2 linked regions of the Arabidopsis thaliana genome follow. The main gene of each other region encodes a partner of the protein of the gene in region 2 in a complex. Each region holds a gene or a part of one and is shown on either strand. Other genes may lie near its edges. A codon is read from its position in the direction of its gene.

Region 1 (4,134 bases), on a different chromosome or scaffold from region 2:
TTCTGTGCTAAAAAAAAAAATATCCCCTTTAAACCTTTAAATCCAAAAAATTTTAGTTTACGTGGCAGTGTTTACTGTCTCTTGTAAACGTAATACACTTGTAGTTCTATTCAACCATTGTAATTTTATCTAGAAAAATAAAAATTCCTATAAATTAGGACCCTAAAATTTAAGAGAGAAAATAAGGACTCTGTGCCTTGGCACTGCTGGCACACCCTGCTTCGTTCACAACCAGGATCTGTTCGGAAAATCAGCACTTGTGGGTACCAATATGGACTTAGCTATGTACAACCTGAATGTCTTCCGAAAATCATCAGCACATCTCCGCACCGGTCTCGAATATCTAATATCGTGATGGAATTGCTGTTCCCAAATATTTTGCTTACCTCTACTCTAGTGTCTCTAATTATATTCGGTTATCGTTACAAATATTCTACTTGAAGCGGTTACTTATCTAGCTGGTTTTGCTTATGTCTACATCTTACTATTTAATATTTATTCTGTTAAGCTTTTCCATAATCTATTAACATTTAATCTCGCCTTGTTTCTAATAAACACAATGCTTTAAAACAAAAATTAGTCATTACACAGTATACATACTACATAGCATATTGCTTAAGAAAACCAGAGACGAGAAGCATTCTATTTCTACAAACAGATGAGATATAGCTTACCTTAACATTCTATCTCTACACTTATTATGCATCAAAGATGATGATGTCGTTATGGCTTCACAAGACGATAGGCTATAAATTTATCATCTCTAAAGAGCATCTCCGCGTCTTGAGGAAGAGTTATCTCGGGGTTCCATGGGCGACAAACTACATGTTGGCCAGTTGGTATACTCAGGTGGCCAGTTCCCATTATGAGCTTCTTTTTCTCACTCTCATCTACTACACATGATGATGTTTCACTACCATCGTTTGTGGGATTCTGAGGCATCCACGAAGAACAAGCAGCAATGTTCCTCTTGATACCATTGGCAGCTGGTGCATTAAGAGTAATAACGTTTGTAGGATTGTGAGGTATAGGCAAAGAAGAAGAAGCAATGTTCATCTTCATACCATCAGTAGTTAGTGCACTAAGAGTACCATCGTTTGTAGGATTCTCAGGCTCATTCAAAGCAACGTTAATCTCCTTAGCATTACTGGCTGGTGCATCATGAAGATCTGGAAATTCTGCACAGAATCAAGACTGTAGAGCATGAGTTTTGAATGAATTAACCATCTTGACCATTTAGCATTAAACTGAAATTGGAATCCATTTCATGCAGTTAAAGTAAGGTTGGCTTTCTTATTTCATAGCTGTTTCCTACCTATCTCAGGAAAATACGTCCCTCTGATTGGACCACAAGTTATAACAAAGAAAGAGAGTTTTTCCTTTAACAAACAAACCAACGGATTATTCATGTAGTGTAGTATTCAAAGAAAACTAACCATCTTCATTCACTTTAATCCCCTTTGATGGGGTATCAGGGGTCATCACCACCTTGGAAGAAGGTTGAGAATGGATCTCTTGTGGACTGCTCTTCACATTTGAATTTACATCTTCTTGTCTCTCACTAGGCAAAGTAGGCGATCCGGTCTGGTTCGAGTTCCCATTTTTGATACTCATGAATGCAACTTTAGCAGCGCTCATTTCAGCCAACTTTTTGGTTTTCGCCTCTTCTCCACTGAAAACTTTACCAGCAAACTCAACAGTTGAAGTAAAAGTAGGCGCATGCGATGGACCAGATGTAGCAGTTGCATAAAATGGTAACAGAGAACTCTCTTTCTGTGCAATTTCTTGTAACAGGTTCTTGTAGGCAACATCAATTCCCTGAAACAACAAAAATTTGAAAATCAAAATTTAAACAAATGTTGAAAAAGCACATAACTTGTAGTCCAAAAAGAGTGTGAGGAACTAGCCTCTGGACTTTGTGGCGTCAAAGAAGCAACTGCAATTTTTGCAGCGGCATGTTCAGCCGATTTTAGTGTCGGAAAGAATTCAGAGCTCTGGAAAGTCTGTCCACAGAATGTAACATTACATCTAAATCTAGGAGCATGAGGAGGCCCTTCTCTCTCATTCGCATACACTGGTAGCTCCAGATTATGTTGCAGGGCATACGCTTGCAGTTGACCTTTGTATACATGATCCATCTCTATCTAAACTGGCAGGAATTAACCAAACATAAAGAGATCAACGTGTATCAGAATTTCTCAAACATAAATGGCAAACGAAGAGACGAATTTCAGATTTCAGAATTGGTCAACCAAACATAAAGAGATCAACATGACAACATGTATCAGAATTTCTCAAACATAAATGGCAAACGAAGAGACGAATTTCAGAATTGGTCAGACTCAATGATCTAGGGTTTCGTACAGATCGATAACATCAAAACAGCGAAAGGAATCTACGATTATAAACACAAAATCGTACCTCTTTGAAATGGTGAAGACACTTCGAGGGAGGAAGTGAACAATCAGACAAAGCATTCGCTGATTGAAACTCATCGAGAAACCATAATAAGTATACACATGTAAATTGTCTCAAGGATACGAAAGATTCGGGTTAACCCAGCTTGAACGGGTATGATCCGAAATAATCCATTAATGGGCCAAAATTGGGCTTATTCATGAAAGTTGTAAAGGCCCAATGAAACTCGAAGTTGATCAGAAGGTTGTCGGCGACCAAATTTCTAAATCCAATTTTGGGAGGGAGACGACGGCGGAGGTTGAAAGGGGAAAGAGCAGAAATGGTGACCGGAGAAGCGTTGATCGCGTACAGAGCACTGCTCAGGGCAACAAAGAAATCATTCGCCGGAGATACCGAGATGCTAAAAGCTTCGGCGTCCGAGATCCGTAAGAAATTCGAAGAGAATCGCCTCGTGGCTTCTAACTCCGACATCACTCGCCTTCTAGAAGAGGCGCGTGAAGCGACGCAGTTCATTTCCACCATGATCGTCCAGGCTAAACTCAACGAACGCGGCGGATATGGTTCGTTCTGACTCTTTTTATCTTGCGCACCATCTGTTTGTTGAAATGCGTGAGTGAAAGCTCATATCTTTGGAAATTTGATTTTTCTGTGTCGTAGAGATGAAAGCAAGTCAGGAACACGCGGGAGCTACTTTGGAGCTTCCATCAGAGGAGATGCTTCGGAAAAAATCTGTATGAGTGTAAGTCTGAAATTGGATTACTTCTCCCTTACTCGTTTTGTTTGATCGGGAAAGGTGGATCCTTTTTATGCTTCTCTGTTTGTTTTCTCTTTTCACGGCCAAGTTGAATCAATAAGAAGCTCTTTACATACATTTTTGGATGAGATTCGTCCATTTCAAAACAAGAATTACAGAATTCACTTACATCCATGGCTAATATTGATTATGTTGTATGTTAGACTGTAGACCTCACTTTTCTACTTTTCTTAGAAGCATTGTCTTGTCGTAGAGACCCATCTTTTGTGTCATTCTCAAATCTTAGAAGCCTTGTCTTGTCGTAGAGACCCATCTTTTGTATCATTTTCAAATCCATGTCACTTTTATTGTTAGATTGAAATATAATTATTTCCTACATAAGCTTAGGTTTCGTCATCTATCTAGATTTCCTTGTCCCCGATTGTTTCACAGAGTCTGATGGGAAGTTTGAAATAGAGTTGACGCGAGAAGATTGAAGCCGTGATGGTCACTCTAGTTTTTCAAACCAATAAAATAGAACCTATATTGTTGATACGGGGTCCGAGAAGTATGGTTCATTTTCCAATGAAAACCACTACACAATCTGTCAAGATTTACCCCCATTCATGAGTGTCCACAGCATTTGCTCAGAAGTCCTTTTTTATCATCTCCATTCATGATTTTAAGTTCAGAGTTCTAGCTTTCTCTTATTAGTGTCTCAGTCATCTTCTCGCTGGTGTGCAATCCTTAGATTCTTGTGTTGAAGAGCATTGTTTCATAGGAATCATGTGAATCGTCATAACCACATATACTTTGTTCTCTCAATTCATGTGAGTTTGATTCAATTCTTTAGCTGTATTCATAAATGCTCACGCATTACGTGATTATGTTGTATATAAGAACTCACGCACGTCCTAAAGAAAGTAGCCATGTCGTGAATAAAGAAAAAGGTAACTAAAAAAATGGATTCGAAAAGAGATATG
Region 2 (5,732 bases):
TAATCTCTTTCATCACACAACATTCTTTATGTGACCAACAAGATCATCTTTTCCTTAAAAATGTGCTCTCCAAGCTAGCCTTTAAGATTCTATTTTACAGTTTCTTGTCTTAAGGCAACTAAAATTCTGCCTGTGAGACAATCTCTAAGAGATCTATAATCTACATAACCTTAATCTTGTTATTTGCACCGGAATCTCAGACTTAAAGTTTCTCAGAAGAAATAAGATGATGATGTTTATCGCCCTTGCTAGAATCACCGGAGTAACCAAAGCACCACATAGCATATGAAAAATTCCCAACTGTTTAGCTATGTGGTAAGATGAAAATTTTCGATGTGGTATAAAGGCAGCTTAGGTTAAGACAGCTTCGAGGCACTAGTAGTAGATTTTTATGTGTTATAAAGGCAGACTCATTACAAATTTTGTTTACTCAGAATAGATATCAAACTTATGAAACCTATCAAAATGCTAATTTTCATTGAAGATGGCATGAGCCAAACGAAGGTTGGCAATAGCTAAGGTCAAACCAACAAAAGTTTGCGACTTGCGTATATAGTTATATCAAAGGAAAGTTGACGCGAGATATAGTCAAAGTATCAAAATAGACATTTGCATAGATAGACAAAAAATAACGCAGGTTAAAGGTACACATGAAAATAGTCTCATAAAAGATGAGTATTTTGTGACCTTTTGAGCATCCTAGGTAGAGCTTATATCAAAAGCTAATCCTTAAGGCCGATAAACATAAACAAAAGTAATCACCTTAACAGATTCTAACTGGCAAAGATCATTACACGGGTTCACCTGTTACCATCATCTTCGATATCGGTTTACTCCGTCCTTTACGACCAGAAGCTTTCTCTGTTTGAAGGGTATAACCCACATTCTTAAGATACCAAAGTGCTGCTTCTGCTGCCTGCTCAGCTGCGATTTTCTTCTTGTACTGTGGATTCCCAAAACACTCCAAAACCGTTATCCGAGAATCCTCCTTCATTTCAACCGTAACTTTGCCTGTAAATCTGAACAAAACAAAAGAAAAACATGAATGATGCTGACACTAAAGATTTCTAACCTTTAAAATGTGAAAAGAGTGCAGAAATTATGTGCTCTTACATTTTCATATGGCAAGGACCCTCGGCGATATACTCATACAGTGGTGCTTTCCAATGCCTCACACTACATAAATTATACAACTGTGATTTGGCTGAAGATCTCTGAGTTTCTTCTAAACAACATGCATGTGAACAACAGAACAAAATGTCAAATTGTCGATAAATGAAAACTAACCCCAAAAAAATGAGACATAATTGACAAGTTTTAAGCTTTTGATTTTTAAGGAATCCAAAAGCTCTTCAAGAAAGCAAACACAGGTACACAATACTAACATTCTTATTCCATAACCATAGCTTTCATCTTTAAAACCCTTATAACCAATAACATTAACAAAACCTTAGCTAAATACAACTGATAACACCAAAATTAAGTAAACAGTGTGGGGAGAAAAAGAGTAAGTACCTTCAGTAGTGGGCTCAGTTGTGTGAGGCCTCAAATCTGCTTCTGGTTCGGAAACAAGAGTGTTCTCAAGTGTAAAGTTTGGCTCCATCTGCGTGACATTGTCTTCTTCGACAGTATCGTTCAGCTTCCTTATCTTAAACTTACTTTCGCATCTCTGTAGCAACATCCTCTTTTGAGCCTGAATAGAGACAAAGAAAAAATAATAATAATAACTGATCCAATCCAACAAAAATTAACAAAAAGACATGACAAAATGATTATTTCTTCTCATTTAAGAAGATCTAAGCCCAAAAGGAAAGACTAATATTTCTATTTATATTCCGCATTTCTTACCACAGAGAAGGAAGATATGGGATTTGATGAAGACTCTGGAGGAGGAAGATCCATCGTTGATTTCAAGCAGAAAATTCTTTTTTTTCTTTATTGGATTAATTAGCTTCAGCTACCTTATTCCTTTATAATAAGAAACCAACACAAATCAGACAGACTTTAACTACAACAAAAAGTGTTTCAAAGACATTGCATATATATAGACTAGTTAATGATCACCTAGATCAAAATCCAGAAGCATAGTGCTATTATTAGTAAAAACGTTACCCATCAAAACCACATATGACCCATGACATAATCTATACATACAAAGAATTCAATAATAACAACAACTTTCAGGACCACGACGCATAATCACTCTTAATTCAATAATATTGTCTCAGTTGCCTGAACATTTGCTAAGAAACTTATAATTTGACAAAGCTAGGAGATTGTCGCAGAGACTTTTTCTGAAATCAAATTTGACCGAACTTTTAACACAAGAGATTTGTTCTGTTTTCTATAGAGCTAAAGAATCAGTATGAAGTTTACCAAGTAAAGCTTTAAACTTAACTAAATAATCTGCTTTCCCTTTGGTCAAAACTCATACTAGTTCCAGCTTAACCATCTTAAATAAACATGTTTAAGCAGGCTATATAAATGCACAGTTACAGAAAGAACAGTGGCTATTGCAATGAAGTAACCAAAAAGGAAAATAAAAAGGAGAGACAGTTATCTAGGAGCTCACAGTTATGGCAAGAAGCTGAGCTTTTGGATTCCTGCTACCAATCCGTTTTTTAAATGCCTTTCACAACATCTTTTGCTTGCCTGCAAAACAGCAACCGCTTTCAGACACCACATAGGATCGTCCAATTAGTATAAACACTGAAATATCCTTCTTCCAATCACAAAGCATAAATATTTCCCAGCTTCTACAATAAAGCCCTATGAAAGATGACTAACTTGAGCAAAACAGTAGGCCACAAGTATTCGAATTGGTCCTAGAAAACATGGAAATATCTAACTATGGTAAAGAAACGAAATTTGATTATCTTAACTATCTTAACTATCTTAACTATCATATATCTTTCCTCTCCTTATCTAAAACCCTTTGATTAGATTACAGAAACAACACTTCAGTTCCTAAACAACAATAGACAAATATCTTCTTTGCCTAAACAACAAGACAGACCCAAATATTTAGTAGTTAAACAGCATTTTGCTAACCACACAAGACAATTCAAATCACACACACAAGACATTTTGCTAATTCATCACACTCACTTATACTATGGAAAAGCAAAACCATAAGAACACACAATTCAAATCATTGTCTCATATGGCATCTTACAACACAAAATAAGAAACCATCAAATATTTATTAGTTAAACAGCAGATACTTTTGAGATCTACATAAAGCTATAACTTACCAAAATCAAGTGACGTTTAAACAACATATAAATCTTCATAAACTAAGCAAATCCTTAAGGAGGAGTTTACCAATAAAATCAAAGAGAGCTGAATAGAAGATTGACCCAGAAAGGAGAACGATCTAAGTAGAGGCTGGAGTTTTCGAGTTTTGATTTTCCTCTTCACACTTCCGAAATCTCAAATTGAGAACAAAAGCTTCAATTTTGAACTAAACCCAGAAATTCTATTTCAAGCGAGAATCGGAAATGGAAAGAGAGACATGAATACCTTTAGGAACTGAGCTAACGCCAATGGAGAAGAAGATCGAGTGATGATGAGATCGAAAAGAAGATTGAGAAGAAGAGAGTAACGAAAGAAGAAGAAGAAGCTCAAGAGATTGGTTGAATGTTTTGTTATTTCACTAAAAAAGAAAAAGTATTATGAACAGAGCAATATTGAAGGAAAAAATATTGAAGGAAAAAAAAAAATTTGTATTTATGTATTAATTACAAAATATTATTTGATGAGTTTACATATTAAATTATTACATAATTTCGACCATAATGTAAATATGTTTTAAAAATGTTATAAACTTTATAAATAAAAAATTAAAAAGGAATTATAATTAAAGAACTATCTTTTGAAATATTTTTTTGAAAGTAAAAATAATTATTAGCAATAAATCTACTTAACATTTTTAAAATATATATTTCCTCTTTTTATTCGGGTCAGGGTTTTATACAATTTGATTTAGAAATCGTCAATCGAATATTTCCCTATATTATGACAAAACCCAAAAACGAATTTAATTTATAAAAAATAATTACTATATCTAAATTTTTTATATATGGTATATTCTTTACAATTTTTGTAGATAAAAAATTAAATATGATGATTTAATGCTAATATAAAATGTTTGGGCTAATTTTCTAAAACCTCTCTACCTAATAAACATAAATACATAATTCTCATTTCACTTTTATTTGATTTTATGTACTTATATTATTTGAATTATTATAAATTATATATGGTTAATAAATTTCTTGTTTTTTCTGCATATATTATGATTCAAATTTTTTAAAACACATAATACTGAATCAAAGAAATATATGCACAATCTAAAATATAAACAAATAATAAATCATTTAAAGTTTTTTAACCGATAAAGAAAAATTTGGTTATTTATTGTCAATCGGGTTATAATAGAATGATGCAATAAAAAAAACAAAATTATTTGTAAAAAAAAACAAATAATATCGAAAACAAACAAAATAATAACGGAGAAAAAATATCAAAAACTAACCCATATTACAAACGGTACAGAATCTACTTATATATTTTTGCAACACTTTTATGAAATAAATCCTGGAGTTTGAACTTATTTACAACCCAATGCCATTGGCATTAAATGTTTTAACAAACTTATTATCAAATCTATAAATCGATTTTGTTACTAAAATTTAGGAAACTAAAATAAAAAAAAATCACAAAAATTATTTAAATCATCTATTGTTCAGTACACAACAAGACCTCAATCATATAATGTGTTAAGCAACTTTTCTGTGGCTCTAAGATCCGACCACTGGTGCTAAAACAAGAATCAGAAGCTACAGAAGAAACTTGCATAGCTAGAATATCTCTAGCTAGTACAAATAAAACCGGAAGCTTAAGACTACTGAGCTTCTAGTATGAAACACATCATATTCTGTTTCCAATGTATTGGCCCTTGTGTTTTCAACACTTTCTTGCAAGTACACAATAGTCAAGCTCTTCATTCACCATCTTGTCATAAACAGAGGCCAATCCTTCAACCCCCACATTCACGAAGTCATGATCATCTTCATAATCATGTCTCTCAAAACCAACCCGAGAACTTGATGTTGATACAGAATGAGGGTTGACTATGTTTATTTTATATTCGTCGAACAAACTATTCAAAACATCAATAACCGGAGCACTAATCACCTTAGACTTCAGAGACCCTTTGCCATAAAGCATCTGAGACGAGTATAGGAAGAAAAAAGAAACACATAGTTTTTACATAGACAAAAGCTGATTAGAAATCCCAAATACATATTCTTGAAAGGCTCATTACATTGCAAAACACAAGCTACATTAGATAGATAAGCAAAGAAACTACTAAAGAACAAATTCTGGACCGTGGAATCTTTCTGTGTGTCTCTAACTCTTGCTCTTGAAAGGAATCGCTCTGATGACAATCTGGTGATATAGTGCTGCTAGAGCTGCTCCAATGAATGGTCCAACCCAGAAAATCCACTGCAACAACCACCACAATTTTACAAATTCAAATATATTAGAAAACATCATAATACGTTTTGAGTTGTCCTTTTCATTAGAGTTGTTTACTCACATGGTCATCCCAAGAGTGGTCCTTGTTGTAGATAATTGCGGCTCCAAGACTTCTAGCTGGGTTGATTCCGGTCCCGGTGATCGGTATTGTTGCCAAGTGTACCAAGAACACTGCAAATCCGATTGGG

The links. Proteins that work in one complex are often made in the same cells at the same time.
Region 1: the proteins of AT4G00420 (region 2) and DRB4 are in contact, whole or in part, in a crystal structure (PDB 8IGD), measured with the Arabidopsis thaliana proteins. Residues at the interface, in NP_001118902.1 of Arabidopsis thaliana: Met102, Glu104, Arg107, Ile108, Thr109, Val110, Leu111, Glu112, Cys113, Phe114, Gly115, Asn116, Glu130, Ala131, Trp134, Tyr135, Asn138, Val139, Gly140; in NP_191839.2 of Arabidopsis thaliana: His314 (codon at 852), Leu315 (codon at 849), Ser316 (codon at 846), Ile317 (codon at 843), Pro318 (codon at 840), Thr319 (codon at 837), Gly320 (codon at 834), Gln321 (codon at 831), His322 (codon at 828), Val323 (codon at 825), Val324 (codon at 822), Cys325 (codon at 819), Arg326 (codon at 816), Pro327 (codon at 813), Asn329 (codon at 807), Phe342 (codon at 768), Arg343 (codon at 765), Asp344 (codon at 762), Phe347 (codon at 753), Ile348 (codon at 750), Ala349 (codon at 747).

The regions. Positions count from the first base shown.
Region 1 is NC_003074.8:23,225,026-23,229,159, forward strand, and holds DRB4 (double-stranded-RNA-binding protein 4), read right to left. Parts: upstream 2,488-4,134; 5' UTR 2,422-2,487; intron 2,150-2,421; 5' UTR 2,139-2,149; coding exon 1,908-2,138; intron 1,819-1,907; coding exon 1,437-1,818; intron 1,179-1,436; coding exon 724-1,178; 3' UTR 501-723; downstream 1-500. Other genes in the region: AT3G62810 (complex 1 family protein / LVR family protein), read left to right, coding at 2,738-2,978, 3,076-3,155. UniProt on the Arabidopsis thaliana protein: Double-stranded RNA-binding protein involved in RNA-mediated post-transcriptional gene silencing (PTGS). Functions in the trans-acting small interfering RNAs (ta-siRNAs) biogenesis by binding and assisting DICER-LIKE 4 (DCL4). Required for DCL4 activity.
Region 2 is NC_003075.7:180,728-186,459, forward strand, and holds AT4G00420 (Double-stranded RNA-binding domain (DsRBD)-containing protein), read right to left. Parts: upstream 3,743-5,732; 5' UTR 3,523-3,742; exon of another isoform or gene 3,255-3,522; intron 2,653-3,254; 5' UTR 2,573-2,652; intron 1,969-2,572; 5' UTR 1,903-1,968; coding exon 1,849-1,902; intron 1,694-1,848; coding exon 1,516-1,693; intron 1,226-1,515; coding exon 1,114-1,225; intron 1,020-1,113; coding exon 791-1,019; 3' UTR 547-790; downstream 1-546. Other genes in the region: PIP1;4 (plasma membrane intrinsic protein 1;4), read right to left, coding at 5,416-5,511, 5,606-5,732.